Regions from separate parts of the Mus musculus genome. Here regions 2 and 3 are each reported to be linked to region 1. The links are microRNA targets in miRTarBase. Many come from high-throughput screens and were not tested one by one. Region 1 holds a microRNA gene; each other region holds the end of a gene's coding sequence.
Evidence for each region. Region 1 holds the annotated microRNA mmu-miR-1192 (AAACAAACAAACAGACCAAAUU, at 2,739-2,760, shown strand). A microRNA usually pairs through its seed, bases 2 to 8, with sites in the 3' UTR of a target mRNA and lowers its output. Matches are read on the target gene's strand: a 7mer-m8 pairs with bases 2 to 8, a 7mer-A1 pairs with bases 2 to 7 and ends in A, and an 8mer does both.

Region 1 (5,078 bases):
CCAGTCAGTCGTTCTGCAGCGTCTGTGGGAAACTCCCTAAGTGAACTTCCCAGGGAGAAACATCACAGGGCACGCTGGGAAAGTATCTGACAACGATCTTCCCTAATAAGTTCATTGAGAGGAAGAAAACGGGGCAGATGGTTTCTCGTACTCTTTCTGCAGGCCCTAAAAGCCACAGGGCTCTAGCTCTTCTTGGAGAGCCTGCCTCTTCCGAGCATTAGCCTTGTTGGTTTTGAAAAACAACACCCAGGCTTCTTGTGTTTCTTAGTCTGGTTTTTCTTTTCTCTCTCTCTCTCTCTCTCTCTCTCTCTCTCTCTCTCTCTCTCTCTCTCTCTCTCTCTCTCGCCTTATCTATTCTCAGGGTTGGGGGAAGCTAGCTTACAGCTAGAAACCTCCCCCACATCACCCTCCTACCCTGCCTTAGTGTTTCTCCAGAAAGCCCAGCGCCCACGGAGGAGCGTAAATTAATGCCTAGTAATTGGTACAAAGGCACTTTCTGTTTCTATGCAACACACGCAAAAGGGAGAGAGGAAAAAAAGAACCCACAGATGTTAAAAAGGGAAAGAGAGATCCTCCCAGCAGTGGTCGTGGGTAATCCTGGCTCCCAGGCTGCCCCACTTTTTGTTGGAAGTTAGTCACAGGCCTAAGCCTAGTGCACTTGGTGGTGGTAATTGTTGGTCTAAAAAGAATAGACCTTGGAGGTTGGACGTGACCTTGAAAGGTCATCTCATCCATCATTTTGTCTGTAAAAGAGCATGTGCCCACCCTCTGAGATGGGCTTGATCTGCAGGAGCATTGGAGGAACTTGGGAGATTTGGAGGCACATTGCCAGGATACAGAAGCCCTCTAGCCTTCGCTAGCATGTGACTCTGAGCTTCTGGAATCTTCTGCGGCCTGTAGTTTTTCAGTAGAAAATGTTAAAGCCCGTGGTGGCTTTCAGCTCGCTTCTGAGAGCGCTCATGTCTCCCTCCCTTGTGAGCTCCAGGGGCTTTGAATCTGTGATTAAGGAGGTTTTATTTATATTGTTGGTTTAGAGCTGTGCCGGATGGATGCTGATGCCGCTTAGATGAGTTAATCAGGTATAGGGGCTTGGGGGAGTGGCCCAGCCTCTTCCTCTCGTGCCCAGCCAACCTCAGTTCCTGAAGCAGCTCCAGGCCAAGCTCAGAGTCCTTGCTTTTTCCTTCCTGGAAGGCCAAGAGTTAGTATTTGTCTTGCCTCCTCAGTAAGTGTAGGACTAGCAGTGATATTGGGAGAATGGCGTCCTCCACCAGAGTAGGGAGGAACCCAAATTTTTTTTTTTTTTTTTAATTTCTTGGGTCTTTCTCCACATTCATTCCCACTTGTTCCTAAACACACACGTTTGTGAGGTGTGTCTTCAAGCCTCTTTTTGTCTTAGCTGCACACTTCCCAGGTGCTCGGGGCTTTGGAAGCCTGTGGTAAGAGCTGAGAATCTGGACCTGGGATCCAAAGGTTTCCACTCCATCATCCCAGGCCAGAGCTGCTGGGTCTTTGCGTGAATGAAAGTGTTTTCTGGGGTTGGGGGATGGAACCTGGGCCTCCTGAGTGCTGCTAGCACTGTGTCTTGGGCCCCTGAAATTTATTGATTTATTTTTTGTTTGTTTGTTTTTCGAGACAGGGTTTCTCTGTGTAGCCCTGGCTGTCCTGGAACTCACTCTGTAGACCAGGCTGGCCTCGAACTCAGAAATCCGCCTGCCTCTGCCTCCCAAGTGCTGGGATTAAAGGCATGTGCCAACACTGCAGATCATTGTGGCTCAGAACAATGGGAGAAAGGTTGGGGGACTTCAGCACCTGCCCTTTACAGGGGATCAGCTCTGCTAAGATCACAGTTAGTGACGACAAGGCCCTGGCCCATCAGAATAGTGAGTGACTTCTCAGGAGCTCTAGCTAAGGCAAGGGGCTTCCAGAAGAGCCTTTACCTTCACCATAGAAACAGAGGTACCGTGATGGGAGCATGCACCTGCCCAGGCCTAACCTAACCCTGACTCCATAACTCTCATCACAAAGACTCAAGCAAAGCTTTTATCTCCCTGAAACCTCAGGTTTCTCACCTGTCAAATGGGGTTCCATAATTATATATATTCATGAAATTATGAGGCCACGTTCAGATGAGTCATTTAAAAGATTATGCATGCCAACCTTTTGCTGAGGATTACTACAATTAAAAAATATATATTTTACATACATATCCCAGACACCTTTGAGAGCCTTAGAATTTTTGTTTAGAATTCTAGGTGGACTCAGGATGGTGCTGAGCAATGGTGACAAGTGAAAGGTGTGTTAGATGGCGACAGCCATTGAGACTTAGTGAGCACTATCGTCCTGAACATGTAGTATGTCTCAGAGCCTGAGCTAAGTGGCTTACGTGCATTTCACTTGAATGTTAATCCCATAAGACCGAATAGAAGTGTGTTGCTTTTCTTGTTTAAACAGGAGGAATCAGACTCGTCCAAGGTTATGCTGAGATATTCCTACTGTTGTTTCAAGGTCTAAGTTGTACGTGAGGGCTGTTGAGTGGCTTGCTCCCAGTGAGAAGAGATTCTGTATTTATTCTTATGGCTCTTTTGGGTTTGGCCCTAGAGCCACCATCTTAAGCTGTCTTCCTTGTGCCCCAGGTCTGATGTGAAGATAGTTTTCATGAGTTTTAGTTAGGAAAGTCAACAAAAATAACTGCTCCTGACCTTGTCACCCGAAACTATTTCCTTCCAAACAGTAAAAACAAACAAACAAACAGACCAAATTTGTCATTGTTGTTTCGATTTGCTCTTTTTGTTTGTTTGCTTTTGTGTTTTGAGACAGGGTCTGGCTTGTATAGCTCATGCCAGCCTGCAACTCTATGGTCTAGGCTGTCTTTCTGCCTCAGCTTCCAGACTGCTGAGATGACAGGCCAGTGCTGCCACACCTGCCAGGGGCTGGGTTTGGGATCCATAAATAGGTTGCAAGCAAGAAAGTCCAGACTTGGACTTGCTCTGAGCTGGGCGTTGTGTCTCTCACCTATAATCCCAACACTTGATAGGCTTAGGCAGCAGACAACTGCCACGTGTTAGAGGGCACACTAGGCTACTTAGCAAAACTTAAAAAAAGATTAAAAATGGAGATCCAAGTTCAGGAGTTGCTGAATGCAGATGGACATTCAGTGCCCCCTCTCTCTATGGCTTTGCCACCCTCTTGCTGGCTCTGGCTTCATTCATGAGCAGGCTGTCTCTGAATGGTACTAAAATGGCTGCCAAGCAACACCAGACTCACTTCCTGCCAATTCAGCAAAGCCCCACAGAAAGACTACTTCCCATTCCTAATGATTCCAGCAAACAACCCAGGCTGAAAGCCACGGCTAAGCTTAAGTGGTGTGTCCCTTATGAAAACAGACTTATTTATCCAAGACTCTCAGGTCTGAAGGTGTGGGCTCAGAGAAAGGACTGGCTGCAAAGGGAAGCAAGGTGCACTGTTCCTTACCAGTAGAGGAAGATAGAGGCCAGACAAGGCGAATCAAACACCGATGTCCACTTAGGCTTGCAAATAGGCTGTGCCAAAGAGCAGCATTTATTTTCTCTGCTCTCCTGAGCTTAGCAGAAAAGATAGGCTCTGAGCGAATGGACAGAAAGGACCTGGCAGAGTACAGATAATTTCAACATATTTTACAAGTGCTCATGCACTCACAGGCCCCCCTGAGGAGATGATTGGGGAACCAAGACCAAACAAATGCTTCACATGGGACAAGTTTTATAAGCAGCCGTGTGATCTTCAGGGTTTTCACATCATCTATTCCAGTGCTCTGAGGGATGAAATGAATCACATTTACGTGAGCATTTATTATCCCAGGTGTTACTTAATAGAGAAGGTCTCTGTAAAGATGAGCCATTTATGTAGTGGTTCCTATCGAGATTCCAAAGTCCTTTCAATGTGCACCGTACTCAACAGAAACACCACAGTAAATACAGGAAACAGAAAATAGAGCTTACACACACACACACACACACACACACACGCCCCAAAGTGACTTAAATTCCTGGGCTGCCGTAATTCCGTTGTAGTTGTTGTATCATTACAGTTTCAAAGACAGTAGCAGAATGAAGTTGGGCGTGGAGTGCATGCCTCTAACCTGAGCATTTCGGGAGGACTAAGCAGGAGGGATGAATTCTGAGAGCATCCAAGGCCGGCTTGGGTCACTTGTCCAGATCCCATGGTGGGCAGGAGGCGGGGGGGGGGGGGGCGCGCCTCATGTTTGGAGAGCTCAGACCCAACCTTCATAGTTTCTGGTGATGAACACTGAATCAGGCCAATCTCTGACTCATTTTGTTGCAGAAATGAGTGGTTCAGTGGAGTAAGACTCTGTCACCACAGCCATACCCTGGTACCAGCAATGCGAAGTCCCCAGGGGGGAAGCTGGAGACAAATGATGGCATAGCATTGCCTGTCTGCCTCATCTGTCACAACCTACCTAGCTAGCTGGTAGAGTGGGCATAGTTACTAACCGCCCCCCCCCACCCCCGTTGGAGCAAAGCTCTATCTTGGCAGTATAAGAGTTCTTAGGATCAGTGAGTTTGTAAAGATACGATTCTACAGCTACACTGGCCTCAAACTCACAGTGATCCTTCTGCCTCAGCCTCGCAAGTGCTGGAATTATAGAAACAGCTTGTTAACACATTACATTGTATTATCTTTCTGAGGTAAAACTCAAGACAGCCATGCTAATTTGGGATTCCTCGCGTTCTTTCCCTGGTTGATATCTGGAATAGCAAAACTCACAGGCTGCTTTGGCATCATGAAGGGTCATCCCTGCAGCCTGGTGGTCTCCACTGGCTGTCACACACCCACTGTATGCTGAAGAGTGAGATTCTGGGCACTGTGACATTGCTTTCCTCTGGTGGCACCTAGTCCCGTCTCAACCCGGGTCCCACTTGACCACAACAAGCCAGCCCCTCAGGTGCCGTTCCAGTAGGACCTTCCTAACCTGGGCTTCCACAAGTTGCACTTGGTCTGGCGTGGCTGGGAGGTAGCAGCCTTTTCTGAGCACTTCCTGGTCTGACTTTAAGAGGAAATACAGAGCTCTGGCGCTCCCT
Region 2 (5,065 bases), not on the chromosome of region 1:
GCTGGAGGGACTGTCCCGTCAGAAGACCACTAAATCCTGCAGAGGGTCAGTGTCTGGTTCCCAGCACCCACATGGTCGCCACGACCAATTTCTAACTCCAGTTCTACAGAATCCAGCAACCTCTTCTGAACTTCACAGGTACCATTCATGGTGCACACACACACACACACATATATAAACAAAACACTTATATGCCAGACCGTGGTGGCACGTACCTTTAATTCAAGCACTCTGGAAGGAGAGGCCGGTGGCTCTTTGTGAGTTGGGAGTCCAGGCTGGTCTACAGAGTGAGTTCCAGGACAGCCAGAGCTACACAGTGAGACCCTATCTCGAAACAAACAAGACACAGACATCTCCACCCACTTCCCAGGCCTTGAACTCAGGAGTGCTGGGATTATAGGTGTGTGCCACTACCACATAGCCAATGAACTCCTTAATCATCATTCAAGCAACTGGACTACACCCCAGCCCAGAGCATGTACCTCCTCAAAATGCTCCCTAGTCATGGAGGACCAGTCCCACCCAGTGTGCTAATCAACTGACTTCTGTAGGCTGTGTTCATACACCACTCTGGGAAGCTGCCATTGCTCTAATCTAAGGTATCTCACAATACAACTTCCGTCTGGAAGTGGTGGGTTTTTAAACTTAGTGCATACTATAGATGTGTAATATGGGAAAGGGATTAGCTACTTAACTGGCTTAATCCTCTCATCTCCCTGATGCACGTGGATTCCTTCTGGCCTTCTCAATGAGCAAATGGAAGTAGTTAAGTCATGGAGTCTGGCCATTGAGGACTCCACCTGTGCCCCGACCCACCCCACTCCCATCCCCCATTTTACTTTTTTGGAGACAGGGTATCACCATGCAATCTTGGTTGACCTAGAACTCAATATATAGACCAGGCTGGCCTTGAATTTAAGAGATCCACTGGCTTCTGCCCCCTGAGTTCAGGATTAAAGACCATCACCTTTTGTTTTCAAAATTTGGGTTACTAGGCCATAACCCCAGGCTGACACACATACTTTCCTTTAGAGAGCCAGTTTCAGCACACCACTGGAACCTCCGACAGCACGGCAATTGAATGCATTGCTTCTGTGCACCAGGACATGCACGTACCCAGCAGGCAGTAAAGATTCTGAATGCTGCTGTGTGTCAAACAAGAGGGAACCAGTTCCAGAGTCCTTCATAACTTCAGTGTGTTCTGGTTCGTTTAATTTCCTTTTAGACAAGAGTCTCACTGTGCATCTTCAGCAGGCCCTGAACTCACGATGTAGACCAAGTTGTCCCTGAACTCAAGATCTACCGGTCTCTGCCTTCTGAGTCTGGGATTACAGGCATTCACTACCAGGACCAGCCAACTTCAGGGTTCTTGCTGGTCTACTCCCTTCTTGGTTTCTACATGCCATGTTGCTTCAAAGCCCTCCATTCTCCCTCCCAGCTATTTCCTGCATATGTGGTGGAACCAAGCTCTACCAGCTGCTAACAGCTGCTAACAAGCTCATTGGGTACAGTTTTAAGCTCTAACATGCGCCTGTAGCGACATTAGACACAGCACACATTCTACACAGAATTGTAATAGTTGTTGCTGCTACTTAATAGTATGGCCCTGCACTTGTGCCATGTCCAATTCTGTACAAGACATATTGGTCATGTCCAGAGTCTGACAATGCTATATCCAGGCCAAAAGTTCCCGCTTGCAGGTAGGTCTGTTACTTCAGAGGACAGTGGCTCTGACAGTATAACCTAACACTGTCTGTGTGTAGGAGGATATTTTAGCTTGCTGGCTCCACCCAGTGGCAGTTGATAAACAGAGTTCATTACCATTAAGGCCGATTTCTTACTTCATCTATGTTCAATCTTACTTACCTGAAATCGATACATTACATTAACAGAGCCAGGGGACTGATGGCCTTTAGCCTATGGCAATTAGAAAAGATGGGGAAGCAGTATTGATTGATGCCTGGGCCATATTTTAACCCCCAGGAAACCAGACAGATGCTGTGCTCTGACAGTAACATCTTCATTCTGTAAGCTGGGTTCCCCCTCCCACGAGACCTAATCTGGTCCTCTAAGTGAAATAGCCATTTCATTTCCCTTCATGTCAATGTCACTACTTTCTATTTGATAGCCACCCCTGTCCCAGGGGCCGTCTGCGGGCAATCTGAATAGTAACAGAGGGGACTTCAGTTCCTTCCAGTTCCTAGCTCCTCTCCTTGAGTCACACTAAGCCCTTTCTGTGTTCTCCTTCCATCCACACAGCAGTGAGTCAAGTAGACCTGAGGCAGAAATAATGTTCAGTTTTAACAAGAGAAAGAAAAAAAAAAAAAACCACTATGATACACGGTCTCCAAGAAAATGAGTTTGTGCTAAATTCATTCCCTAGCCCTCTTTGCCAAATGATGTCTTCTTTCAGCATAAAAACCATTCATAATATTTTGACAGTTACATGTGTACAGAGAGAAACAACGATAAGAACTCTTATGACAATGACCCAAACCACAGCTGCCAAAACTGCATTTAAAGAAGCAGCCCTAACCCCTACAGATGAAATCATACTGAACAGGTTTGTATTCAGCAGACCCAGAAAAAAAAGACCAACCAACCAACCAAACAAACAAACAAAAAACAAAAACAAACCCTCTAAGGCTTGAGTGGTGTGGGTTTGAATAAGAGACCAAGGTACCAAAGCAACCAGCAGGTGGCAGAATTGAGTTGCCAAGTTGACCCCAACCAAAGAGATCGTTTTCTGTTTCCTGAGGGATGGGTGGAGTTTGTGAAGGAAAAACTATAGGAAGCCAAGCTCAGGGACAGACCCAACTGGGTAACAGAGACCAACAGGGAAGGGGAGGATATTTACAGGAGAGGAATATGAGGAGTAGGTTGGGGAAGATAGACAAGACATCTGAATGTACAGGGTCTAGGGTTTGGGTTTCTGTCCAGTTCTACCCTCTGGCTAACCTCATCCTCTCACTCTCTCCTCCGAGGAAACAATCAAGTGTGCGAGCTTGGCTCTCTGCCCTCAGGACCTCAGTCTTCTCCTGCTGTTCCCAATGCATCGGGAGATAGAAGGCTTGGCTGGGAGGTCTGGGGCACAATCCAGGAGACAGAGGTCATGGGGGGCAGGGGGAAGACCAGCTCATGGCCCTTTACCCCCTGTCTCCCTCCTCTGCGCTGGACACCTGCTCTCTTTTCACACGCCCAGGATAAAAATGAAGCAGCAGCAATTTTTTATTGAGGGAAACCTAAACTGAAAATAGGTTTAAAACATAATTTAAAAAAATAAAACAGCAAAAGTAGCAAAAAAATATATGACCTTTTAAAAAACATTTTCCTTTTTTTTTTCTTTCTGTTCGTTTGTTTTTAATATATAGCAACGGATGCTACCCTGGGCGTCTCCCCCATGGGTAAATCTCTAGTAACGACCCTTTTTAAAAAGACATGTAAATATATACTCAAGATTTATACACTTTGTGTTTTTCTTCATAGCTATGTACAGAGCCCCAAGTCTAGGGCTCAGCCCAAGGGCACATCACGGCTCCCAGTCTCTGCCTCCCTGTCTTCTGGTACCAGGCAGGTATTTGGTCAGCAAAGCAAATTAGTATTGGAATTAAGAAGCTACTGGTACCATCCATCTGGAGCAGAGGTTGCCTTCGGTTAAGGCCTAAACAGAAACCTCACGGCTTCCAGGAGCCCCAAGGCCCCTGCCGCCAGAACAGAAGGGGCTGATGGGTCAACAGGAATGCCCCGGATGCTCCACTTGCTTCCGCTCTGCACACCTCCAAGCAGTGCCAGGCAGCGGGGCGGGTCTTGGTCCAACACCTGGGAAGGAGGATGCGGCCGTCGGCAAGCACCTGCCTCTTGGCTCCTCTCTCACACAGCAGGCTAAGAAGAGGGAGAAGAGGGGTCTTGGGGGTGATGGAGGGGGAAGGCCACAACACAGGAAGGCCTCAGTCAGGCACTGGCTCTTGCCAGCGGCAAAGGAGGAGGAGAAAGGCAGTGTGTCCAACAAGGGGATTGTGGGTGAGGGGCACGGGTGACGACGGAATGGGAGAAAACTGGGGACAGGGTTGGTAGTCAGCGCCGTTTGAGTCCACTGTTGGCAAGCTGGGTGGGGTGTCGAGGCAGACAGGGCTCCTCAGGTAACGGCTCATGAGAGAAGACAGAGTCCTCCCCTGAGGAGCAGGTGGAGCTCCGTGTGTCGGGAAAGCTGGGTGAGTACTGGTCCAGCGGTATGGACAGGTCCAGATACTCCTGTGACAGAAAGGGATCGGTGGGTGGCACCCAAACCTTCCCAGGAGCCTATGTGACAGAGGCCCAAGTTCCAACCCCGGGGGACAGCCCTACCTGGTTGGAGGTCAAGGCCACAATGCGGTCCAGGTCTTCCACCAACTGCTTGAACGTAGGTCTCTGAGAGGGCACTGCATGCCAGCAGTCCCGCATCATCATGTACCTGAAGCAGGATGGTGAGGTTAGAGAGAGAGGAAGGACCAGGGCAGAGCTGGACCAGAGGGCTTGGGGAGGGATGGACAGGGAGGCCACTTCTCCCAAAGAGACCTTTCAACCCCTGCCCACCATGCTCCTGCTTCCTTCAGAGCCAGGCTTGAGACCTCAGGAACCTCGAATAAGCCACCATCACCTGAGGAAGCTGTCCCAACATCCAACCCAGCTTGCCAGTGGTGGATCCAAACAGTGCCGACTACTAACCCCCCATCCTTCCCCTCTAGCCTATGCTTACAGCTCATTGGTACAGTTACTGGGCTTGTCCATTCGATGACCCTCCTTCAGCAGCTTGAAAAGTTCCTCCACAGGCACACCGGGGTATGGGGAGCCACCCAGAGTGAAGATCTCCCACAAGAGCACTCCAAAAGACCACCTACAGGGGAACACGGTTCCACGGTGGCTTAGCACAGAGTCAGGCTGCCCTAGGAGTTCCTTCCCAAGTCCTCAAGAAGTTAAGAGTAGTAGGTGTGCATCTTGAACCTTTCTCACCTCTTCAGGGACCTTAAGTTCAGGGGGGCAGAGCACAGGAGACAAGAGGGCAGCAAGAGACTATACTATGCAAGGA
Region 3 (5,065 bases), not on the chromosome of region 1:
TAGAGTTTGTACTACCATGCGCAAAGCCTTGAGTTCAATTCCCAGCATATCAGTAATAACGGTAAAACTCCCTCCATGCAAACTCCTCACTTGGTAACAGAATTTATACTGTGGGCTGCACCCTCTGATCTGCAGTCAAGCTGCGTAGCCTTGCTCATCAGCACTCTGTACCCTGGGATATTAGGTCTTTTATTCATAACAATCAATTACTTTACACTCTCGTTGACAAGTTGCTTAGACTCTCAAGTCATTTATGTGTGTATCTGCCCCTGGTAGACCATGCCTCTTCAAGGTCAGAAGTGTTTTGCAGTGCCCTTCCTCTGTTCTGTTCTAAGGTGCTTCCAAGGGTCCTAACAACACAGCAACCGAAAGCCAACGCAGAGTTTTAATTTGTTGCCCAAGTCCCTAACCATCCTAGCAAAGTGCTTTTCTCGCAATGACAATTTCACCTGTGTCATTTACCTATGATGTCACTGCGGTAAAAGAAATAGGAAGAGGTGAAAGGCACTTCACCTCCAGGAGTCTGCAGCATCTTTCAGCTGTGTGGCCCTGGAAGGGTTGCATCGCCAAGAGATGCTATTTTTGTTTCTGGTGTGTATGATGTGTGTGTTTGTGTGTTTTTGTGTTTGTGTACCTATGTGTGTTGTATATTATGTGTGTGATATGTGTATATATGTATGCATGGTGTTTTGTTTGTGATGTGTACGTGTGGCCTGTGTGTGGTACATATGCATGAGTAGGTTTCACAGGTGCTAGGACACAGGGCGTCTTCTTCTATTACTCCCTGTCTTACTGCCTGCAAGCAGGGTCTCTCACTGAAGCAGAAACTTGCTGTTTGGCATACGCTGACTGGTCAGCTATCTAAAAAGATGCAATAGTCTGTCTCCACCGTGCTTGGGTTACAGTGCACACAGCCATGCCTGGCATTTACTTGGAGGCTGGGATTGGAGCTCAGATGTGCATTGGTAGGGCAGGTGCTCCTTCCCACTGCATGTCTCCCCAGGCCGCTCTGTCTTCATTCAAGAAGGAAGGAGACAGGATTATCTAAAACCATGCCCTATTTGGCTTTCCCCCACTAAAGCTAACCACCGCCCTTCTTCCTGATTTGTTCATGTCACACAGCCAACCCCATCCTTTCCAAGTCAAACGGGAAGCAAAATAATATTCAACACACAGTAAAAAGAATTTGCTGGGGTTGGGGATTTAGCTCAGTGGTAGAGCGCTTGCCTAGCAAGCCCAAGGCCCTGGGTTCGGTCCTCAGCTCCGGAAAAAGGAAAAAAAAAAAAAAAAGAATTTGCTGGGCCAGCAAAATGGCTCCATGGGTAAAGGCATTTGACCAGAATTCAAGAGGGTATACCTCTGACCTCTAGATGCAGGTGGCGGTAGGTAAATTCCCCTGCCCCATAAATAAATAATTGTAAAAAGAAAATTTAAAATAGAACCAGGCAAGCCGGGTGTGGTGGCGCACACCTTTAATCCCAGCACTTGGAAGGCAGAGGCAGGTGGATTTTTGAGTTCGAGGCCAGCCTGGTCTACAGAGTGAGTTCCAGGACAGCCAGGGTGATACAGAGAAACTCTGTCTTGGGGGGGGGGGGGGGGATGACAAAAAAACAAACAAACAAAAGAAACCAAACCAAACAAAACCAAACTACCTGGCAATGGGTGGTGGTGGCACCCTCCTTTAGTCCCAGCACTCAGGAGGCAGAGGCAAGCAGATCTCTGTGAGTTTGAGGCCAGCCTGGTCTACAGAACAAGTTCTAGGACAGCCAGGCTACACAAAGAAAATGTCTTGAAAAACCAAAAATAAAAATAAAAAAATAAGGGGCTCGAGGTTAAGAACACTGACTGGTCTTCCAGAGGTCCTGAGTTCAATTCCCAGTACCCACATGGTGGCTCACAACCACCTGATTCTCTCTTTTGGTATGTGTGAAGACACAGCACTCATATAAAATAAATAATTAATAAATCAAATGCTTGATGGTACTGGAGAGATGGCTCAGTAGGTTAGAATTCTCACTACTTCTGCAGAGGATGAGTTCAGCTCCTAGCACTCACACAAGGTTACCTCCCACTGCACGTAACTCCAGCTCCTGGACGGAGGGCCTGACAGATAGCCTCCTTTAGTCTACTTGGACAACTATGCATACACATGACACTGACACACATACACACACAAACACAGAAAGAGAGAGATTGATTTAAAACAAGGGCTAGAAAGATGGCTCAGCAGCGAAGAGCACTAGTTGAGTTTTCAGGGGACCCAGGTTGCATTCTCAGCATCTATGGCAGCTCACAGGAAGGAGTCTGTAGCTCCAGTACCAGATGATCTGAGAACCTCTTGTTCAGAGAGCTCCATGGGCACATGATGCACTTAAAGGCAAAACATTCACAAAATTTAAAAAAAAAAAATTTTTTTAAAAATATTCTCAAACCACTTTTTGAGTTTTAAACAAAATGTTTGATCAATGTTTATTCTCCCCATCATCTGCCTTTGATCCTTCTGCTTCCTTGCTTGCTGGCTTGGTTTGTTTTGTAGCTCAGGCTGCCACATAATTTGCTAGTAGAACAGGCTAGCTTCTAATCCAGAGACCCACTTGCCTCTGTCTCCCAAGTGCTGGGCTTAAAGGTGTGTGCCACCACTGCCCAGCTTCTTTTCTTTTCCTTTGTTTTCTGTTTGTTTGTTTTCTGCTTTGGGGGTTGTTGCTGTTGATTTGGGTTTTTGAGACAGGGTTTCTCTGTGTAGCCTGGGTTGTTCTGGAGCTCATTCTGTAGGCCAGGCTGGCCTTGAACCCACAGAAGTTCTCCTGTCTCTGCCTCTTGAGTGCTGGGATCAAAGGTGTGCTTCTGCACTCAAGAGACCCTGCCCATGTAATTCCCAGAATGGCTGGCACAGTTTTAGAATAACCCTCAAGGGTGGGTCTTCTGTCCTCAGGTCAGTCATTTCCAGACTCACTTGTTTATGACACAATCACATTTTAACAATGTGAATGGAGAAGCCAGACCAAGGCGAATCCATAGAGCCCCTTTACATCTTCAAGGCATAAGGCTTCAAGGATTGAAGCCATAGTGAACAGCAAAGAAGAACCACAATACACTCACAAAGTGTCTGCATCAACTGTATTTACTGCTAGAATTTCAACTTTTTCTTTCTTAAGTGTCAGAGAAATAATGGCATAGTAGGAAGACACCCAAGGAGGCAGGGAACATTTGTATCACAAAGTGCCACAAAGTTGATAAATGTAGGTTGCTAATAACTCTGAAGTAAGCCAGGCGTGGTGGCGCACGCCTTTAATCCCACGCTTGGGAGGCAGAGGCAGGCGGATTTCTGAGTTCAAGGCCAGCCTGGTCTACAGAGTGAGTTCCAGGACAGCCAGAGCTATACAGAGAAACCCTGTCTCGAAAAACCAAAAACCAAACAAACCTCTGACATACTCTTGATGAACAGGCAGGAATCACTGAATGCTCAGTGCAATGAAAAGAACAAAACATGTAGGCAGCTATAAGAACACTCAGTAGGGGACAGGACTCTTGGCAACCTGGTCATCAAATGAACTTGAGTTCCAGCCAGCAAGTGACCTGGCTTTAAGACATCCTGCTTAAGGGGAATTCAAGTTTCAGCCAAGCGGCTAGAACCAAGTCAACCTATTTTTCTTCTCTCCAGCTTCCCCAATGCCTTGAGTGGTGGGGTTGTAACAGGTCAGATCCAATGCAGGATCCCTTTTAAAAAGGGGTCTCAAAAGATAGGCTACTGCTAGGGAACTAAGCGTAAGTCACCTGAGAAAAGAGGAGTAGGGAGGGAGGTGCACAGGCACACGTGGCTACAATGTATCCACATATGCTGGGCTACAGGCTCAGTGCACTTAAACAGGGGGAGTGGGGCTAGCCTGATGCTTCAGGGACATCCTACTCACCGGCAAGTTTCACATCCAGAAACCTGCTCATTTCTTCCCCCAGAAGAGCAAAACAGCAACCAGGGACAGGCCCCAGTTAGCCTCCCCAGGTCCCTGAGAAACAGGCAACACAGGCAGCAAGGTCCCCCAGAGCTGGTCCCAGTCCCAGCAGACAGACACGGGGAGCTCTCTAGTCCTTAGGGAGAGAGCCAAGAAATGGCTCATCACAAAGTCCAGGGCTTCCAGCCCTTAGCGCAGACAAAGATAGGATCCCGTGGGAAAGGTTCCACTGACTCCATGCATAGGGTACAACAGACTGGGGGTGGTTTCTGTGATGCCCTCATGTGATCCAGCACCAGAACATTGTGTGACGTATATAGAAACATACACTGGAAAAATACATTATAATCTGGCGTTCAGGAAGTACTGAAACCCGCCTGCGTGTGCTACATCCCATCTACTGTAGCACAGGCTGCACGCAATGAACACCAGTCAACTCTCCCGGCAACCAGAAGGTTCCTCCTCCGCAGCCCATTTGGAATGTTAGGATCTTTGGGTCTCTGGCCTTCGGGGCCTCCCCAGAGACCTCTTCACAAGGATTGCAGAATACACTCCTTGCCTCCGCTGGCCAGAGAGTTTCTCCACAGTGGTGGTGGCAGCAGTAACGTCAGCTCAGATATAGTTGGTAGAGGGCTGCCGGGCACTGAGGCGCTGCATGTGACAGCCGTGGCAGAGCAAATGTCCATCAAGAGGGAAACAGCAGCAACCTTCCTCGTCACTCAGCTGCATGCGGCAGTCCTAGGGAAGAAGGCAACTGGTTCACTTCCACCCAGGCTCCCTACCCTGAGGCCATCCTGGGAGACTCCGGGTGACTGGACAAGTGAGTGGTAAGGCCCCAGGGAGGGTGAAGGGTGAAAGGGTGGACTTGAAGTGAAAACCCGAGAAATACTTCTTCTGGACACCAGGGGTCGCTGCAGCAGCAGAAATCATGAGACAAGCCCCATTCCAGCAGTTCAGAGGCTGGGGAAGCCAGATTCCAGATTTAAAAAGAACTAGGATTAGAAAGAAAAGCTAGAGGACAAGAGAGACTGGACATAGGTCACTGCAGTGTCCTGGTTTTCTGTATCCTAAATCCCTCCCACAGATGCCCAGTCATTCCAAGAATCCCCCTTCCA

Region 2: the mRNA of Fgfr1 is a reported target of mmu-miR-1192. Seed matches in the 3' UTR shown: 7mer-m8 at 2,631-2,637, 7mer-m8 at 2,614-2,620 and 7mer-m8 at 2,610-2,616.
Region 3: the mRNA of Ajuba is a reported target of mmu-miR-1192. Seed matches in the 3' UTR shown: 7mer-m8 at 3,415-3,421.

What each region holds. Positions count from the first base shown.
Region 1 is chr19:23,146,712-23,151,789 of GRCm38, forward strand. It overlaps Mir1192 (microRNA 1192), which reads left to right and starts at 2,720; the gene lies at 2,720-2,840. All of the region lies in intron 1 of Klf9 (Kruppel-like factor 9), which reads left to right.
Region 2 is chr8:25,572,931-25,577,995 of GRCm38, reverse strand. Fgfr1 (fibroblast growth factor receptor 1) reads right to left here. Exons shown (of 18, transcript NM_010206.3): 16 at 4,736-4,873; 17 at 4,345-4,450; 18 at 2,278-4,251. The coding sequence ends at 4,075. Among named protein-coding and RNA genes, the nearest start is that of Gm16159, 19 kb to the right of the region's middle.
Region 3 is chr14:54,564,369-54,569,433 of GRCm38, forward strand. It overlaps Ajuba (ajuba LIM protein), which reads right to left. Exons shown (of 8, transcript NM_010590.5): 8 at 3,101-4,688. The coding sequence ends at 4,563. Among named protein-coding and RNA genes, the nearest start is that of Ajuba, 11 kb to the right of the region's middle.